2 linked regions of the Diceros bicornis minor genome follow. The main gene of each other region encodes a partner of the protein of the gene in region 2 in a complex. Links are inferred from orthologs where the notes say so. Each region holds a gene or a part of one and is shown on either strand. Other genes may lie near its edges.

Region 1 (10,455 bases), on a different chromosome or scaffold from region 2:
ACTTGTAGTTGTAAATTTTTTAATTGATGAATTAGCTTTTAAAACCTGCCCATTTCCCACCTGGTGTATGTGCACTGGGAGGGACTGTGCCCTGGGTTTTCATTTCAACCCCCTGGCAGCTGTAAGTTCTCCTTTTCTTTTGCCCCTGAGGCGCCTTTGCCAGTTAACCATGCTCCCCCTCTGCCTCCAGCTCTGTACCACAGGAGTAAGAGCCTCTGCCACACTGGGGCCAAGACAGGTTGGGGAATATCACTGAACGCTTGCCTGGCACCTTGAGTGCAGCGAGCACATACCTTATCTTCTTTTATATTCTCGAGGAGGGTGAATGAATGGAAGAGGACCCTGAGACAAAGAGGTTAACCCTCTACGTTTGGTCCACAGTCCGAGTCAAGGAGGAGTGCCACTTGGGCTCAAATTCAGATCTTCAAATTCTAAGTCCAGCGATCTTTCTATTGCACCATGTTGTGTACAGACTTATTATGCATGGATTATGACTCTTCACTTGTCTTGCTATTTGGAACATTTACTCTGGTTTTTCCAGAAGGTTGGGGAATTTCTCTACATGTTTCGAGTTTAGGTTGTAAGAAGGCATCTGTCAGCTACTCATGTCATTAGCTTTCCCATCTTTCCATTAAGCCAGTATTTTCTAGACACTATGGCACTAGATAAACACAAGGCATCATTTAGTTTGATGAGTGAAAACCGAATGATGAATGGGCAAACAACCATCCGTCTCATCTCGCCTGCAAGGCAGGTTTACCTACCCAGTCTTACAAGCACTTGGAGGAATAATTGGCTCTTTTCCCACTACCCAGGCCTAGAGACAGCACAAAGGGTCAGGAGCATCTGTCTCTCCCTCAGTCTTCTACTGGGCTCCTTGAACATCAAGCCTGAGGCCAATAGAGAAGCAAGTACCTGTCATCATAGGAGGAGATCCTCTTGCCATCCATGACTCGAGAGGGAGTGAGGGAGAGCAGGCTGAGGGAGTACAGCTTCTGCAGGTAGTGACCCTCTAGAGAAACAGTGGAGCATAACAGAGTTACCCTCAAGGTGGAAGCAGGGCCTATCCCAGGACACAAAAGACCAGGCCCAACTCACCTCTGACCTTGGAATCCTTACTGAAGCGCCACTGAGGCACAAAGACGGTTATGTCACGGTGGCCACGGTCCCAGAAGTACTGAACAGCAATGGCAATGCCCCGGCTCGAGAAGTGGTGCTGGAGGCCGTGCCTGCGGTCAGAAGGGGTCAGCACTTTGGGGCCCCAGAGGAGGGGCCTGGCAGCCTGACTGGACTGCCTGCCCCTCAGCACATGTCCCCAGAACTGCCCATGTCCTCCCCCTCCCCAGGACCCTCAGCCCCACTGGGTACTCACACCATGGCCACGTTGCTGCCGTCAATGACAATATGACGGAGGTCTGGCTGGCCAGGCACATTGGCAAGGCACAGGGTGAAAGGGTCCTGTAGGGCCTCCTGGAAACGCTGCGTGCCAGTCACCAGGTTGCCCCCCCGGGTGCCTCGTTTCCACGGAGACCCCCGACCTCGAGCCACGACCTGCTGCTTGTCTCCCCTGTCTCCTCGGTCTCCACAGTGCCACGGGGGTTCGGGCGCAGGTGGGGGGCTCGGCACTCTTGGAGGTGAGGCTTTCCCATTGTGGAGCCGCTGGAGGAGGGAGGCTCCCCGGGGTGGAGGTACCCTCTGACAGGGACCCTGGGCACCAAGAGGCTCACTGGGGACACAGAAACTTCCTCTTTCCTGAGGCACCTCCTCCTTCCCCAGGGCCTTCCCTTTCAAGGGCCCCACCTGCCCTGCCTCTCCTCCCTCTGACTGCAACCTGAAGGCCGCTTCTCTCTCCCAGGCCTCTTCCCCAGGCAGCTCCTTCCACCCCAAATCCATCTCCCTGAGACCACCCTGCCTCCCTCCCTCCTTCTCCATAGCCTGTCTCTCTCCCCTTGACTCTCCTCGCCCCATAGGTCCAGTGTCCAGGGACTCGCTGCCTTCACTCAGGGGAGCTCTGACTCCCTGGTACTGAGCACCCAGTGGGCCTGGGCTCCCACACTTCCAGGAGGGGAGTGCTTGGGGCCCCTGCCCCCTGGATGCCTCCTGCACCAGGCTCAGCAGTTCCTCCTGGACGGCCAGGGGCAGCTGCAGCAGGGCCTCTCTGTGGGCATCCCCCCGGGCCTCCAGCAAGGCAGAGAAGTCTCTCAGCACTCCAGCTCCAGGGGCTGGCCCTGGCCGAAAGTCCCAGCTCAGCCGTTCCACCAGCTCTTCCACTCGGCTCTGAGCCATGACGAAGGCCTCAGTCAGGCCACTGACCATCAGCGAGCCAGGTGACCCAGGCACCAGATGTGCTGACGTGCTCCAGGCCAGGCAATCCAGGAAGAAGCCCTGGGCTCCCAGGAAGATGCAGTGCAGTTTGGATGGGTAGTGGATTTCATCCTGCAGCTCCGGGCTGCAGAGACCCTTCAGGTATTCCTGGGAGGGAAAAAATGGGAGGGAGGAAAAAGGAGACTGCTGGGATCGTAAGTGGCCCAGTAGCCCCTTCAGGCCCATTGCTCTCCCCTGAGCTCCAAGATGCCTTTGCAGAGCAACGGAGCCCCACAGATCCTGACAAAAACGGGGATTAAAAAGGGATGCAGAATCTCACTTCTTTCCCTTTTCAGCTGATAGCCTGTGGCTAATATTTCCATTTAGAACTTGACTCAATTTGAGATATTATAATTAATTGGTTACAAGGCTGTCTCTCTAAATATTTATATGTGTATATTGTGTTGTATATTTCCATCATAATGATTGTCATTGCTAACTTTTACTGAACTCATGCGTCACATGCTTTATCTCATTCACAATAAGCCCAATGAGGTGGATACTATTATTTACATTTTATACATAAGAAAACTGAGACTTGGGCCTCAAGGCTGGTAGGTGGTGGAGCCCTACTAGAAGCCCCAGCTGACTCCCAAGGAAGCAATGTGGCCCAGCCTCCCACCTCACAGAGAATTCCTTGGTGGGGCCTGCTTGCCCAACCGGATTATCTCTACTCTCCCAAAAAGCACCAGTGATTTGAATTGAATCACTTGTCTCCAAGCCCTGGCAGAACTTGGGTCGTCACAGCACAAATGAAACCAAAACTCCAGATAAACATAGTTAGGAAGTCCCTCAAAGCTCAAGGCCGCTGAGGTTGCCAGTGAGACCAGCAAGGAGGAAGATCCGCCCCAGCCCCTCCTCTCCCCTGCCTCCACGGGGGAGGAAGTCATTGTTCCCCGGAAGGGTCAGGGAGGGGCGTTCACCTTAGCTCTGCTGGCGTTCTCCTTGGGGCCCTCCAGCTGCAGCCAGATGTGAGGGTTCTCAGGACAGTCCTTCGGAAGGACGCTCATCCCCACGCTGAAGATGCGCTCCACATGGGGTTGCTGCTCCCGCACCTTGTCCTCGGCCTCCGCACACACCGCAAAGCGGTCAGGGGACGTCGAGCCAGCCCCCCAGGTAGGCATGGCTGCCTGGCCGCCCGGCCCTGAAAGAAGGGAAGGCAGCTCAGAGCTCTGCCGTCCCCTCAACCCAAATCTTGGTCTCGCGGCCTACACCAGCTATCAACAGGTCGCACCTAGTTACTGATCCGGTAAACAACTCAAGAGGTAACAAGCATATCAGTCCATCTTGGAGGTAGGAGGGGAGTGTCAGGTTATCCAGCCACACCGGCCTTCTCTCCGGAGAGGAAGTCATGGATAAATAAGGCTGTCTATCTGGGATGGGTGCCTGGTCTTTAAAAATTATGACCACAGCCCTGAGCTGGAAGGGTGGGGGGCTCCAGCTTGGTCTGGAGGCCAGAAGGAGTGGACAGGTGACGAAAGAGTCCCTCTCCTCGGGGGACTCTGCAACCTCCGGGCCCAAGACGACCTCTTAAAGATGAATCCGCACAAGGGCTTGAACTGGGCTATCCTCCGGGGTCCCCAGTCTGCCATTTCCAAGGTTCTAGCCACTCCCACCCCTCCCCCTCCCTCCGCCGTCCTCTGGCCCCCTAGATAGCGCCAAGCGCCCCACTGGGGACCCAGGGGCCGGGCGGGCCCCGCCCACAGCTGCCTGCGGCCGCCGCCCCCGGACCGCTCTGCGCCGCGGCCTCCGGTCCCCGCGGCCCGGGCGCAGGGGACGGGGCGCCTACCCGCCTCGGCCGCCCGTGCCGCCTCAGTCCCTCCGGCGCCTCTCGGTGCCCGCCTGCCCCAGCTTCGCCCGCGCCCCCGGCCCAGGGGAGAAGGGAGGGGGCCCGAATCTCGGGCGGGCCTTCCCGGATTCCTCACCCAACGGGGACCTCTCTTCTCTGCATCTCGAATAGTTTTTTGAGTCACTTCCTGGCCCGGGGCGGAGTCAGCCGGGCCCCTCCCGCAGCTGGGCCTGCATGGGGCCTCGGCGCCCGCCCGGCCTCGACCCCGCCCCCGGATATGGCCCCGCCCCCGGCCCCGCCCCGCCCGCTCGCCCGGAGTTCTCCTGGGCTCTCTCCGTTGCCTGCCCCACCTGCTCTCTCCGCTTCGGTGAGTTCTCGCTCGCTCGTTCTGCGCAGTGGTTTCTCAGGAAAGAGGAACCGCTCGCTGAGAGTTGGAGGTGAAGAGGATCTTAAAGGAACTAACCCAGTCCTTTCGGATGAAGATATGGAAAACCATGGAGAGAAAGAGACTGGCCCAGGGTCACAAGATAGTGACACTGTTGGCGCAAACACTTTCCACCAAAACAATTGTGGGGAAAAGACAAGGGCTCCCCCTTGCTTCCGTCAGTGGAAAACACGCCGCTGAGAGGGCAGTTGACTTGTGAGGGATTTCAAAGAGAGGAGATGAGGAGGAGGAAGGGGCCGTGGGAGCTGTTTCTCGCGCATATGGACACGCTCACACACTCACATACACGCAGTCACGCATTCTCACACTCTCACACGCACACCCATGTTCTCTGTCGTCCCAGTTCCCGCCTTCAGTGCTCTCTGGAGGGGCTGCCCTGGGTTCTGGCTGTAGCCCTCCTCTCTGGCTGCTTCATCCCTTCTCTCCCTCCCAGAGCCCAACTGCTGTCATTTTGTGCCCTGCCAAGGAGGAGGGAACTACAGTGACAGCAGGAGTGAGAGGCAGGACAGAGTTGTGGGGCACAGAGAGGTATGGAGAGGGAGATGCCACAGGACCAGGTGACACTGAGTCCCAGAGAGGGCTGAGGAGCGGGGTGAGGGATGGTGAGAGTCTGGGGAAGAGGAGGGCAAACCGAAAGGAGCAGAAAGAGGAGGACTTGCAGGTCACAGAGCCACTCAGCCATGCTGGGAGCAAAGCAGCACTGGCCGCCAGGTCCCTCCTTCAGCCCCGGGCTGCCCTTGGCCCTAGTGCTTCTGGCCTTGGGAGCTGGGTGGGCCCAGGAGGGGGCAGAGCCTGTCCTCTTGGAGGGCGAGTGCCTGGTGGTCTGTGAACCCAGCAGAGCTGCCGCAGGGGGGGCTGGGGGAGCAGCCCTGGGAGAGGCGCCCCCCGGAAGAGTGGCATTTGCTGCAGTCCGAAGCCACCACCATGAGCCAGCAGGCGAGATCAGCAATGGCACCAGTGGGGCCATCTACTTCGACCAGGTAATCCCCTACCTGCAAGGACCTGGACCCAACTGTTCAAGCCCACTTTGCTGTTATGGAAACAGCCCCCCACTGTGGCCAGTTGCCTCTCAACCCCACTGCTTGCCTCCTTTCCCTACATCCTGCCCACACCCCTCCTTGCTCTTTCTCACCGTTTCTTTTGAATCCGTGCATTCCTCCTTTTGAATCCGTGCATCCCTCCTGTTCGAGTCTACTTGCCACCCCTTCTTTTCTTACTCGCTGCCCCTTCCCCCAACCCAGTGGTTTCCCTGAGCCCCAGGCATCCTCGAGCCCCCACGAGCCCCACTCAGCAGGGTCTGCTTCCTGCAGGTCCTAGTAAACGAGGGCGGTGGCTTTGACCGGGCCTCAGGCTCCTTCGTGGCCCCTGTCCGAGGCGTCTACAGCTTCCGGTTCCATGTGGTGAAGGTGTACAACCGCCAAACCGTCCAGGTGACCTGCGTGCTGGGCCCCATCCCTGGCTCCCTGGCTTGGGAAGGGAAGAGAGGGGAGGGAGGGGGAATAAGTGGAGCCCAGCTGACCCCTGGGCATACCCTCTATTGACCTGTGTCCTGGGGGGCCAGGAGCAAGGGACTCCTGTGTGGGAGGAAAGGGCCTGCCTAGCAGAGGGTGTGGAGGAGGGGCAGAGTCCAACACTGGCCACCCCTCAGCCCTTCCAGAGGAGTGCACTGAACCCCAGGTTCCCAGGTTCCAGAGTGTCCCTCTGGGGCTGGAGAGAAGAGAGGGAGCCCTGGGGAAAGTGGCAGTCCTAGGAGAAGGGCTGGGGAGAGGTGCTAACTAGGCTCCCCTCCCCAGGTGAGCCTGATGCTGAACACATGGCCTGTCATCTCAGCCTTTGCCAACGACCCTGACGTGACCCGAGAGGCAGCCACCAGCTCTGTGCTACTGCCCCTGGACCCCGGGGACCGGGTGTCCCTGCGCCTGCGTCGGGGGAACCTGCTGGGTGGCTGGAAATATTCAAGTTTTTCTGGCTTCCTCATTTTCCCACTCTGAGGGCTCAAGCCTTTCAAGGATGGGAATCTAGCCCCTGCCCTCTGCCCTCTGCCCTCTTCTACCCAGAAGCAGCATCTTTGGGGCAGGAGAGAGGCTGCCTCTGGCTGTCTGTGTTCCACTTCCTTGCATGGGACCCTGTGCCGAACACCCAAGGTGAAGAGCAGAGCTGTGGTGTCTCAGGACCTGGCCCCTCTTCCCCTCCCCATTGCCCTCCCAGCCTCCCACTGCATCTCTGTGCCTGCAGCCCTAGTCAGGACAGCACTTGACAGGTAGGGAGGCCTGTGCTACTTTGCAGACTCTGCTCCTGTCCCGCCCCCCTGCCCCCAGCTTCCTGCTCAGTGCTATTTAGGGACAGGTGGCACAGGTGAGCCTGACAGGCCCCCACAGGGGCCCAGATGGACCAGCCTGAGAGTACCCTGCAGGCTCCTTCCTGTGAGGAGTGCCAGCATCACAGATCTCAGTCAGCACAGTCAGAAGCTGAGCCAGCGCCTCATGGTCTAGGGCGGGAGGCTCAGCCACCAGCAGAAGTGTGGGGAGGGCCATGGAGCAGCCCGGTGCCTGTGGCTGGTAGGGCAGCAAGGCGGCATGCGCCCAGCCTGCACATGGTACTCATATTTTATGTACATTAGGGCAGCCAGCAAGCAGCAAACCCAGGCGTCCATCTGTGCCAGGTCCCAGATGGACTGTGGCCCTCACCTCCCCACCTGAGACATGGAGTGTGTATGTTTGCTCTGCCACAGAGCTGGTGGCTGCCTCCTGGGTCACGTCAGGTGTGCAGAGCTTCCTTGGGCAGCTGGAGGTGGGGGTAGAAGGTCATATGTGGGCAAGTGTAGATATCCAGGCTTGAAACATATCAATGACCATGGCCACCTCCTAGAACTGCTCCACCTCTGTAGTCTCAACTTCCATCACTCCACGCTCTGACTGCCACCTCCTTCCTCCCAGCTCTCTCGGTTACCTTTATTGTACCTTTTCCAGACTATCCCATAACCTCTCTTCTTTCTCCTGATTTGTGCTGTCTTATCCTCCTTCTTAAAAGTCTCATTACCTTGGATTCCACGATTCATCCCTTCACCTACTCTCCTTCCAGTATTATAAATTCTCTGTCTTATCTCGCTGTCCCATTGGCCCAGCATGGATGAATCCATCAATAAAGTAATTAGAGAAGGATGGTCGATGAGACACTCTAGGATCTTTAAAGAGAGAAGATGCTGTTACAATTTGGATCAGGAGTTATAGAATATAAGCAGGTATGTTGTAGAGAAAATAAATCTAAAACTGTATATTAGAGTCAAATAAAAAAAGGATTTGGTAATGCTTGAGTTAAATAGGAAATACCAATGTGAATTTGTGGTTTTCAAAAGAAACAACTTTTTCAAACTTAGAAACAACATCAGGAAAAATCTGATATGCATTCTTAGCACCTGGATCTTTGCCTCAAATATTATTCACCTTTAAAGGGACTCAGAGTTCCTTGGAGAATAGCTCTGTGTCTTAAATAACTCTAGGCCTGGAACATATTGATGACCAAAAAGAAGGATACTTTTGTCAATGTATAGAGTAGAACTGAAAAGGCAAAAAAAAAAAACAATTTTAAAAGGCTCTCTGTTGACATTCTGTGACAATTTGATAATCAAAAGGAAAATAATACTGCTAATTGGAACAAGGTGAATTTTTAAAATCCATGACTCTGTAGTAATATTCAAGAAGCAAAAAGTTACTATAAAATGTGCAAAAGGTAACCAATACACTGTGTGAAGAAGAATGAATATAATAGGATATTTTTAGTTAATTGTGATAAGTAGAAGAGTATATAGTATTTTATCTATTCATAAGGTACATTTATTTTTATCTATGTAAGTAGGGAGGGGTGGATACAGTAAGCTGTGAGTAATTCCAGAGAAAGTTGGAACTGTACCAGGAGTGAAAGAGACTGATTGGCACCATCTGGTCATGTATTACAACTAGGAAGAAAAAAAGTCCAACAGTGTGTTTGTTACAAGATGAGGAATTGGTCAAACATCCAAAAGATAACTGCTCACTGTTCAAACTTGATCCTTCATCTCTTGGGAAAGGGAGCCTCTATATTACCCTACTAATTATAATGAGATTACAGTAACAGTGAAACCCAAAATAATAATGGCTTAAACAAGACAGAAGATTATTTCTGCCTCACATAGAAAAATCTGCAAATAGAGTCCAGGGATGGATGGCAGTTTTATGATCAACACAGCCCATCATTTAGCATGTCACCTCCTGGCGCAAGATGGCTCCTTGAGCTCCGGCCATAACATCAGCCTTATAGCCCCCAGGAAGGAGGAAGGAAGAAAAGGCACACTCCTTTAAAGACGCTTTCTGAAAGGTGCACCTGACGTTTCTGATTGCATTTAGTTGGCTAGAATTTAGTCATGCCTGGCAGGAGACAGGCTAGGAAATAGAGTCTTTATTCCAGGCAGCCATGCCCAGCCAAAAGTCAGCAGTTTTGTAATAAGGAAGAAGAGGAGATTGGATATTGGGGAAAACAACTAGAAGCTTTTTAAAATGCAAATAAGCTAGATAAATTTGTAAATAATATCAGTAAAGTTATTGTATTGGTTTTCTATTGCCGTGTAACAAATTACACAAACTTAGTGGCTTAACACAACAGTTGTTTATTCTCTCAGTTTCTGTAAGTCAGAAGTCCAGCAGAGTGTGACTGGATTCTCTGCTTGGGGTTTCACAAGGTCAAAGGCAAGATGTAGGCAGGGCTGCCTTCCTTACTGAAGTGGAAGGATCCACTTCCAAGCTCACTCAGAATTCGGTTCCTTATGGTTGTAGGACTAAGGTCTTCGTTCTCCTCTTTCTCTAAGCCAGGTCCTTCTGACACTTTGAATCTTTCAGACCTACCCTTCTGCCACATGTCTCTGACCTCACTGGAGGGTTCTCTGATTTTAAGGGCTCATGTGATTAGATTGGGCCACCCAGATAATCAAGGATGGTCTCCCTATTTTAATAACCTTAATTACATTTGAAAAAGGCCCTTTTGCCATGAAACATACTCAGAGCTTCCGGGGATTTGGTCATGGACATCTTTGGGACATCATAGTCCCACCCTTAAAGATGACATCATTTAAAAAAAAGGCATCCTGGGCCGGCCCGTGGCTTAGCGGTTAAGTGCACGTGCTCCACTGATGGCGGCCCGGGTTAGGATCCCGGGCGCGCACCGACGCACCGCTTCTCCCGCCATGCTGAGGCCACGTCCCACATACAGCAACTAGAAGGATGTGCAGCTATGACATACAACTATCTACTGGGGCTTTGGGGGGAAAAAAATAAATAAATAAAATCTTTAAATAAAAAAAAAAAGAAAAGGCATCCAGTTACAATACAATAAATGCATGGAAAAGGTGTGGGCTTGAAAATTTCCCGTGATATACAAGATAAACACTGGCTCAGATTTTCATCTTAGCAAGTAAACCAGTTCCCAGGTCCCAACCAAGAATTTATCGATTAATAATCCAAAACTTCATCTGAACTGAGATAATGTTCTTTTAGCTATCCAAATTCAAAAATTGGTCTGAACTGAGATAATGTCCAGCTCTTGGGTCTACAAACCCAGTTTTATAGTGGGTTTAAGTGTAATAAATTGTATAATCTTGTCAGATGTGTGTACTTTACCAAAATGTTTGATGCTTTTAGAGAAGCTGACATGTTATACTTGTGATTCTATTGAAATACTAGGAGGATTTAAGTTTGCAATCAATGTTTAAATAATTTGATTTGTAAAATGTGTAGATTTTGACTTGGTTATATAAATAATATTTAAATATTTAAACAATTTTTGCTTAAGTAGGTATGAAGTAAATAGATTAAAGAATAAATAAAGC
Region 2 (10,342 bases):
CGGGGACTCTCAAACATGAAGGTGTAAACTGGAACAACCACCTTTAATACTAACTTGTCAGAATCTAGAATAGCTGAAGCTGTGCAACCATTCAACCCAGCAATTCCCTTTCCTAATGATCTACCCTGTAGAAGTTCCTGCCATGAGCACCAAGAGACATGTATATTCTTGGCAGCACAGTTTGTTGTAGCAAAACATTGGAAATACCACAAATGCCCATTATTGAGGGAATAGGTGCTGAACTGTGGTATAAATCAGATGATGAAATACTATACAGCTGTTAAAACAAATAAACTAGATCCTTAGGACATGAATAGATCTCCAAAACACAACATTGAGTAAACATTCTAAAACACATAAAACAATACTACATTTTGTATATGGATACAAATATACGTGCAAGGAAATTATAAAATCATGGAAGGACAGGATCCACACCAAAATCATGATTGAGGTTGCTTCTAGGGAGAGAGGGGAAGGAGACTAGGGAAGAGAAAAAAAGAACACCCTTAGGCCTTTTCTGGTTTTTATTTATTTTAAAAGATAAGGAGCAAAAATGAAAAAATGTAAACATTTATTTATTCTGAGAGGCGAGTTATAAGCTTATTATACTATATATTCCTTTATATAACTTTTGCTACATACTCAGAATATATATACTCTGATGCTTGTTATATTATTCTTTGCATTTTTTGGTATTTTTTTCAATTTATGAAATAGTCAACCAATCCTCTTCCCATCTACCCACCCCCACCCAAAGTTTCAATGAAGCAAGAGAAAGGCATACAAACAGGAAGCCCTGGGGAAACACCCACATGGGCTGAAACCACAAAGCTAGTTGAAGACACTCTGACAAGCCTGCTTTAAACGGTTAACTAGAAATCATGCTTGCAAAAAAATAACTGGAATTAATGAAAGATCACACTTCATATAGCTACTTCACAACACAAGGACTAGTTAAGAAGTCATTCAGATTTGCGTTCTATACTAAGTCTGAACACTATCTGCTATGTGACAGTTGGTAAATTTCTAAACAGCTCTAGGCCTGTTTCCTTACATCAAGATAGGACTTACAATACCTACCTCAAGAATCATAGTAAAGACTAACTTGGCTACCATCTCTAAAGTGCTTACCATAGTGCTTGGTACATGGTTATTAGTTCAATAAATGGTAGTTATTATTTGCGTCAGAACTGGGATTACAACTCCACATGTGGGCATATATTTCAGCAAAACAAATAGAAATATCCAAAGTGATGTGCCAAAACAAATAATTATCCAACTGAAGCAAGCCCTTCGTTGACTAAAATGTATAACTAAAAGCAATGTTAGGGGCCAGCCATGTGGCATAGTGGTTAGGTTCCCGTGCTCTGCTTCAGCGTCCCTGGCTTCGAAGGTTTGGATCCCGGGTGCAGACCTACACACTGCTCATCAAGCCATTTGGTATCCTCATACCAAATGGGGTAAGATCAGCACAGATGTTAGCTCAGGGCCAATGTTCCTCACAAAAAAAATTAATTAATTAATCCTCCATGCCAATCCTCCTCTTTCTTGCTGAGGAAGACTGGCCCTAGGCTAACATCTGTGCTCATCTTCCTCCACTTTATATGGGACACCCCACAGCATGGCCTGACAAGCAGTGCGCCGGCAATCGGAACCCAGGCCGCCAGCAGCAGAGCTCGTGCACTTAACCACTATGCCAGGGGACCAGCCCCTAATTAATTAATTTAAAAAAATAAAAATAAAAGTAATGTAAGAGAAAAGAGAACTATAGAATAAACAGGAGAAATCCTATGTATGAATAATAGCACTAGAGAGGAAATTTTCTAAGTCCAGCAAAATGCAAACTGTCCTCAGGCAGAGAACAGTTTATCAAATTGAGCGGTAATCTCAAGATGGGTATCAATTGGTCAACAGATTCCATTAACATGTAACCTACAAAAAAGGTCCTTACATTCCCACACCGCCAAGTTTTAGAAGAGAAGGTTTTATAAGTTGCTAAGGGGAGACTATTTTAAAAACATACTTGGGGAAAAAAACCATTTTCTAGGCTTTCAGGCAAAAAAAAAAAAAATCTCCCAAGAGTCTTTATTATGAGGAAACAATGTACATTAATGGATCAAAAATTTCTAATTCTCAAATTCAAAAGTGATGTAAAAGGAAATTAAAAATGTGACTAGATTAGTAAATGTAAGAAATAAGAATTTATCACTTCACTAAAAAAAATTTAAAAATAAGACTTTAATGAATTCCCCAGAGGATCCATCCAAACTTGCACATACCAAATTATCCCTATATTATACACACTCTTAAAATATAGAAAAGTGGAGGTTAACAACCCAATTTATGAGTTTCAATGGTTTTGATGTTTCAAATCAGGCAAAAAAAAAATACCATAATAAAATTCATAAAACAAAAAACTTAGGTTTCTAAACATATTGTGTGTAAGAGATTGAAACAAAGTTTCTAAGTATATTGGATATGTAACATATCGAAACAATTATAGATTATGCCTGTGTAGGATTTTTCCTGAAAAACCACAAGTCAGATTATAAAACAATCAGGGAAATTTGAACACCAACTGGATACTAGATGATATTAAAATTGTAATTGTAAAAAAATGTGATCATCGTACTGCTGTTATGTTAATAAAATAGAGTTCTTATCCTCTAGAGATACTTAAGCATTTACAAAGCAAATGATCTCTGGAATTTGGTTTAAAATAACACTTTGGAGTTGGGGACAGGGATGGGAAGGGGCCAATAAATGAAACAAGATTGGCCACGGTTTTTGGAAACCGATGAAGTGAAATGATGGGTACATGAAGGTTCATCATTCTATTTCTCTACTTTAGTATATTTTGAATATATCCATAGTAAAAAATTAAAACATAGGAAGCATATGTATTTAAAACTAAAAGTCAACACTAGTTGGTGAATAATTTTTCATAACAGAACAGAAAAAGAGATAACAAAGCCTTCCACTTCTGTTGCTATTCAGTATAGTGAGCTAGAATGTTCCTTCCTTTTCTTTGTATCCTCCACCCTCCCCTCCTTTCCTCCTTCCTGATTTCATCTGTTGTTGTGACTTAGATGACTCCCTCTACACACATAATCCGAAACTCAGAAACAGACTTTCAGATTGGTGCCTCACAACATATTCAACAAATATTTTTTTAAATAACGGAGCATACTCAAGCACTTTTTAAAAATTTTACAGTTTTGCCCTAAACAAATACATTTAAAAAAAATATTAATCTCACCTACCTCATCCATTTAAATTACCTGTCTTTTGTATGTTTTATTACACATATATTGGGGGTAAGTAAAGTTTTTTGCTAACAAGTGCAGGATCAAAAGTTTGATGACCACCATTTTGGACACTAGGACACCACTTCAAGTTTGTGAAGGATGAAGAAGGGGTTGAGGGGACTGTCAGAGAGCCTGCCCTGGGGGAAACAAGATGAATTTGCTTCGTGTTGTCAGGATATTCAGGTACAGATGCTCCTTAGACCCTGGGAGATGAAGAACCTAGAGTCAGTAGGAAGATGTGGGCAGCGGATGTACATATGGAAGCCGTCTTTGTATATGTGACAGCTGAACCCAAGGGAGTGAGCTCTCTTAGGGAGAGACTTGGAAGACAGGTCAAAAGGCTTAACTCAAACCTTGGGATACACCTATATTTATCTGGCAAAAAAGAACAAGTGGCAACAGAAGCAGCTGCCTGAGAGGTAAGCTGCACTGTTTCCAAGTGGTCCCAAGAGCCCGTCAACGGTTCGGGCCACCGCAGTGACACCACGGGAAAGGAGCGCTGGGTGAGAACCATCCATCATTGGCAACTTTGAAGAGGACTCTCCTGGTCAGGGGCTGCGGACTAGCTTCAGATATCAGAAAAGTGATAACGAGAGGAATGGAGGGCCAAGCAGAGATCCCCGGCTCAGTGCGGTGGAGACGGATCCGGGTGCCGAACGCGGCTGGGGTGCTGGGAGGACCGCAACACGCCTAGGGACGAAGCTAACAGAGAGGGAAAGACTCAAGACTCCAGAGAGTAGAGGCATATTCCTTTGTTCCCAAACCTGCCTCCAAATTCTCTAGGCCCTGACTTGCCCAAAAGTACTTTATTCTCATGGGGGTGGGAGTTAAGCGTAGTCTTCACCCGGGCAATATCGCGTTAGCCATATTCGAGGAAAGGTCTAGAAGCATTGGAGGAAAGGGAACTGCCAAGAGTAGAAGCGCGGGCCTAGCAGGGGCTCTCCAAGGGGAGCAGAGAAGTGAGGAGCTGGAGGAAGAGGCTGTCGGGCGCGAGGTCCCCGCGAGGGCGCGCCCCTCGAGGAGCAGCAGTCGCGGCAGTCCTCCCAGACCGGGACCCCGGGAAGCCGCCCCTCCGTCTCAGCGCACTTACCGATCCGACTGCGAATAGTGGCACCGGTCCAGCAGGTTGAGCTTGCAGAGGTGCAGGTTTTCACAGGGTCTCTGGCAGAACTTGCGACGGCAGACCCGGGCTCGAGTGGTAGCCACCACTGACCGGGTGACCCCGGCCTTGCCGCCGGTCTCCAACACCACGAAGCGATCGGGCCCGGCCGCCTCCAGCACCTCGCAGAGCTGCGCCTCGCGGAGCGCGATCTCGTTGAGTAGCGCGTCCAGGGACATGCGGCCCCCGTGGGCGCACAAGATTTTGGTGATGAAGCAGCACACCTCCGGGTCCGCCATGGCGCTCTACGCTGGGCTGGCTGCGCCGCGGGGCTGCTCCGGGGAGAATCGAAACTTACAAGAGTCCCCGGGGGCGGGGGCGGGGGCGGGCGCGGGCGGTGCTCCGGCTGGGCGCGCCCGGGGCGAGCCAGCGCGCACTCTCCATCGCCGTTAGCTGAGCGCAGCGCTTTCGGTTTCACACTCGGCTCTGGGTCAAGAGGCCAGATCGCACCGACCCGGTCCCTGTGTCAGATTTAAAATCTATCGCGACGGCAACCGAATGGAATGAAAGCGAACAAGCGCGGGCAAATCTGCCCGCACCACCCGGACAGCTCCCTCTCAGTTCCAGGCTGCGCGGGGGTGAGGTGCCCCAGCTCAGCGCCGCGAGGATTCTTTCGAAGGAAGAGAAACTAAAAATGATCTCTGGGCGCTGGCAGAGTTTTTATAAACCAGCTGAAAGTGGCGAATGACGCGAGTCTTGGGAACCCCCTTGAGGAGCCCTCTTTCTCCACCCCACACATCCCCTGAACGAATAGACCTGAGTGCGCACTTGCTCCGTGCTGGGCGGTATTGGTGAATCTTCACAACAACTCCACGAGTTAGATATTATCCTCACTCTGTACTTGAGGAAGTAACGAGTAAACACGCACAGCCATCGAGCTGGAGCCCGGATGCTACCCGAGGTTCCCCAAATCTGGCCCCCAGACCCCAGATCGTGGTCCGTTTGGCCAGGACCAACGTACACTTTCTCCCATGCCCTCCTAAAGAACAGCGATTATTACTCTCCTTCCTTTTTGCCTTCTCACAAGCTTTCTGAAGAACCCCGTCTTGACACATTCTTGCCTGTGTCTATCACTAACAGCGGTGTCCCGGACACCGCTTAGTCCCTGGTGGCAAGTACTCACAGACGAGCAGGCTTAGACACATCCCAAGATTTTAGATAGGTTCTCTTTAGGTATTTGGACAAGACCTTTTCCCCCTGCGGGGACCCACGTAGGCCCCAAGAGTTGGTATAAAGATTATTTTAAAGTGAAAACATTTGAGCTACAGATGATGCAGAAAGAAATTTTATCTGAACTTCTCTTAATCTGCTAAAGCAGAGCCTCCAGAAAATACAGCTACCATTAACCCTTTTCCAAGAGAGTTTCCTGTTCATTCAGCTGCCTTGGAGACAGACTGCCCATTTCTATTAGCATCAAAAAGCCCAATAGAACCTTCCATACTCTCCCATTGAAGTCCTAAACCCCACTACCCCTTTTGTTAAATTGAGATATATAAAGTTACTTGGGGCTATTTCAGGAGTTTTCCATTACTGGAACCTCCCCCCTCCCAATGTGTGAACAAATCTTGTCTTTTCTCCTGTTAATCTGTCTATTGTCAGTTAATTTGCAGGCCTCCAATCACTGGACCCAAATTGGAAGAGGAAAAAGTTGGAAGTTGGAAGAGTGTTTTTCCTCCCAACACTCCCAGGTAAAAGAAGTGCGTCACTGATCAGATAAGAAATAAACCTTTTTTTTTTTTTTTAAAGATTTTATTTATTTCATTTTTTCCCCCCAAAGCCCCAGTAGATAGTTGTATGTCACAGCTGCACATCCTTCTAGTTGCTGTATGTGGGACTCAGCCCCAGGATGGACAGAGAAGTGGTGCCTCGATGCGCAACCGGGATCCGAACCGGGGCCACCAGCATCGCAGCGCGCGCACTTAACCACCAAGCCACAGGGCTGGCCCAGAGATAAACCTTTTTTAAAAATGATAGAATTTGGTTGTCAAACTAGAAATTCTTCAAAATGACTAATGGGAATTCTCCTGTTTGGTAATTCGAGGTAGATGAACTGTTGGCTCGGGAATAGAGTACTTTAGTAATGAACACCAGCCAAACGTGGGGCCTGCACAGGATCATCTGACTTCTTGTTCCCTCTAGCAATTTCTTCTACAGTTGCCTTTTTTTTTTTTTTTTGGTGAGGAAGATCAGCCCTGAGCTAACATCCATGCCAATCCTCCTCTTTTTGCTGAGGAAGACGAGCTCTGAGGTAACATCTATTGCCAATCCTCCTCCTTTTTCTCCCCCCAAAGCCCCAGTAGATAGTTGTATGTCATAGTTGCACATCCTTCTAGTTGCCGTATGTGGGACTTGGCCTCAGAATGGCCGGAGAAGCGGTGTGTAGGTGTGCGCAGGGATCTGAACCCAGCGCCGCCAGCAGCGGCGCTGGGGCACTTAATGGCTAAGCCAGGGGGCTGGCCCCTATAGTTACCTTTCAATTCACTTGGCCTTATTTGTGGTCTGACAGGTTCCCAGGGACTGAGCTTTTGTTGTCTAATCGATTAAATTCAGCATAGTATCTTCTGCGTGGCCTTTATGGTAGTTACGCTGAACATGTCGAAATTTAAGAAATAGTCCCTGTACTCAAGGAGCTTGTGTTTGGGAAGACATGAAAAAACATTAAAACATAAGGAAATCAGGGGTTAAATGCTGCAATGGGTATATAGGAGATTGGAAAAGGAGTACGGTTTGGTTAGAGTGGTTAGGAATAGAGATATAAAATCCCCTCAATTCGAGGCCATGAAAAACGATGCAAGGGGTTGTGGGAAGGGAAAAAGCAGACATTTTGGGAAATTTTAAAATTTGTATCGTCACAGGTTGGGTTCTCCAGGAAGCAGATACTGATATGGAGTTAAGGATACAGAAGATTTCCGGGGATGTAACACCAGAGAAAGTCAAGGAAAGAAGCAGGATTGATCTGTGGGAGCTGTCAGGCGGCGATGTAGACCTGACAGTCTCTGCCAGCCCGACAGGGAGCAAGTCTAGCCTTGGGCAGAAAGGCCTAGGCCCTTGTACCCTGCCTTGCTTCGTCATTGGCGGGGGCCATGAAGAAATGTGTGACTTCAGCTGAAACACTGGGACGGATCCTGAAGGAGCTAAAGCTGGAGACTATCAGCTAAACATACTCCTTGCAGCTGGGCAGCAAGCCCTGGCTTGAAGGAGGATCTGAGTAACCCATTATGTCTGCTATCGTGCACCCTTTGTGCCACATGGATCTATTTCCCCATCAGTATTCAGGGAACAGCTCCTTCAGGGCTCTGATGGGCCCTGCTCTTCCTGAAAGAAAACTTAGAGAAGTTAATAGGATGAACTATAGCCCCTGTCACTGCAATTGGTTGCAAGATCACAGCTGGTCCTCATCATATCTGTCCACCACTATCCATTCTAATTCCCCTCACCCTCGGCTACCACCTCACCTGGTCTCAGTAGCTTACCTGAGTGGGCACCCTAAATCCTCATTCCTAAGGGGTCTGAGCATCATCTCAGACCAGGCTTTCTGCTCTTATGTCTATTCACAGTCACAGTTGGGCAAAAGAGTACCAACTGGCACCCAAATAGGTCACCAGAGTCCGTACATATTCCTCCCCAGTCCCTGTCTAACAGCGGCCCTATCTCCTCCTGCTGACCAAGTCAGTTACCTCTGATAATACGGCGTTCCCTTGCCTTACCTGCTAGTCTCTGACCATTAGGAAGCCAAAGTGCCTGGTGGCAGCCATAAGTTGTAGTCCAGTGGGATCTTTGCTGTGTCCCCAGGCAAAAATGTGCTCCTTTTGGAGACCAAGACCTCTAACTCTGCAAAGCCCAGAGTTGTGGGGACAGGGAAGCCCAGTGGGTCATTGGAATGATGCTAAGGGGGCCACTCATGCTTCCGCCCATTGTTTCAAGACTCACGTACTCTTTCTGTTGGGGACACAGCACCATAATCAGACACTAAGTTGTCTGATTGAAGTCATATCCCTTGATGTCCTGGAGGAGATGTCATCACTGCAGTGTATTGCCTTCATGCTGGATCTTGAGCTGCATCTTTAACTGGCCATTCCAATATTTGTCTATCCAGTAGCTTCTGGGTCGTGAGGTGTGTGATATGACCAGCGGATCCCATGTTCATGGGCCCACTCCCCCATTTCCTGTGCCACGAAGAGAGTCCTCTGTTAGGATGCTATGTTATGTGGGATTCCATGTCTGTGGATCAGGCGATCTTTAAGTCCCTAGAGATTGGTGCTATGGAGGTCCTGCAGGCAGGAAAGGCAACCCCATACCTGGAATCTGTCTATTCCAGTGAGAGCAAACTGCTGGCCCTTCCAGGACAAAAGGAGCCCAGTGTAGTCACCTGGTCACCAAGTAGCCTATTGGTCTCCTTAAGGAATAGAGCTTAGCATCGGTCATTATGGCTGGTAGATTGGACATTCAGAGGTGGTAGTACCTATATTCGTTTTGGTAAATGATAGTCCATGCATTGCCTCCATCTCTGTCACCATAGCCTCTTTGTTCAGTTACCCATCATGCAGCAATGAGGGGAAAGGGGTCTGTGACAAAGGCTGGCTACATTAACAAGTGAGAGCTATCACAGTAGGGAAGGATCACAAGGATGCAATGGAGGGTTAGCCTGATTTCCAAGTATGTCAATGCCAACTATACATTTTGGGGTTAGAGGAATGACAACCAGTGGGTTCATGGACCCAGGGGACCCATTGTAAGCTCAACCTCAATCAGGCCTCCATTTGCTCCCACTCTAACATGGGAGCCACGAAGATGCTTCAGGTGGCAGAGTATTGGTGACCTCTGACCTTGTGCCCAACAGTCATCAAAATGTCTGGGTACTCTCTTCTGTCATCCACGTAAATGTTGTAGATCTCCCTGGGGAAGGATTGGAGGAACAATTCTAGCTCATTCTTGCCATCATGTTGCAGGTCCTTCTCCCTGAGGACCTGGCCACCTCTTCAGTCACTGGGTTCTGAGTCCGAACACTGGTTCAGGTACAGAAAGCGGGCCAGGAATTGTGACTTTTTATTGGGGTGACCATCCTCCTCATTGTCCTGTTTATTAATTCTTGTTCTTTTTAGATTACACATGTTAAACAGTATTTTGTGTGCTACCCATCTATTTTCCTCCTAGGGAAACTCTGTTCTATTCACAATCCCTACAGCTCTTTACAGGTCAGGCCCCCTGGCTGCCACTCTGACTTAGTCATTACAAGCCCTGGCTTCTGCAGGAAAGGGCCATCACATGGTGTCTATTGCATCAGGGCCTATCATCCCCATTGCTATTACTGAGCCAGGTTCCAGGACAGCCCCTCCTTCCATCAGTTATGTCCTGCAGGGGAAGCACCACTGAACTTCTTAGTGACGTTGGTGTCCCTCTCACCAGTGTGTTCCTGACAGCCTTGATGAATGTGATTCCTCCGAGCCATCCTGTGAAGCCTAATTCTCTGGTGGATCTTCTGGCCTAACATCATATATCTATTCCAGCACATCCACTTTTCTGAGTCTTTTAATCCTTTCTTCTACTGTTGGCCCCAGAAATTTAGTCATTTCAACCTCACGTGTCATGGGCCATCACTTTCCTAGGCTTCCAGGAACCACCTGGCAGCAATTTTGCATAATCCCCTAGTCCTTCCAGGATGCTAAATCTTGTATCCTGAGACAGTGCTCTTACATCAATAAATTCTCCTGTATACAGTCTTATATCCCAGCTTGCTTGAGAGAGCAGTTTTCTCAGAATGGTAAGATTGGAAATCAAAAGAGATCACTCATTTTAGAGGATTGACAAGGAAAGGATTAGAGAGGAGAGGAGAGAAGAGGGAAGGAGAGGAGAGGAATTATTCAGGTAACTA

The links.
Region 1: the proteins of ZC3HAV1 (region 2) and KHNYN are in contact, whole or in part, in a crystal structure (PDB 9BGL), measured with the Homo sapiens proteins. The link is inferred for Diceros bicornis minor from reciprocal best matches to the Homo sapiens genes ZC3HAV1 and KHNYN. Residues at the interface, in NP_064504.2 of Homo sapiens: Glu5, Val6, Cys8, Phe9, Lys12, Ile13, Ala16, His17, Glu29, Ile30, Ala31, Leu32, Leu113, Glu115, Phe118, Ser127, Gly128, Leu129, Asn130, Glu133; in NP_001277186.1 of Homo sapiens: His651, Lys652, Asp654, Phe655, Gln658, Arg659, Pro661, Tyr662, Asn677, Phe678.

Annotation. Positions count from the first base shown.
Region 1 is NC_080744.1:23,580,873-23,591,327, forward strand, and holds the start of KHNYN (protein KHNYN), read right to left. Parts: upstream 4,379-10,455; 5' UTR 4,290-4,378; intron 4,283-4,289; exon of another isoform or gene 4,154-4,282; intron 3,509-4,153; 5' UTR 3,489-3,508; coding exon 3,288-3,488; intron 2,473-3,287; coding exon 1,373-2,472; intron 1,230-1,372; coding exon 1,099-1,229; intron 1,013-1,098; coding exon 916-1,012; intron 1-915. Other genes in the region: CBLN3 (cerebellin-3), read left to right, coding at 5,198-5,578, 5,909-6,028, 6,392-6,589.
Region 2 is NC_080742.1:86,915,235-86,925,576, forward strand, and holds the start of ZC3HAV1 (zinc finger CCCH-type antiviral protein 1), read right to left. Parts: upstream 4,772-10,342; 5' UTR 4,710-4,771; coding exon 4,402-4,709; intron 1-4,401.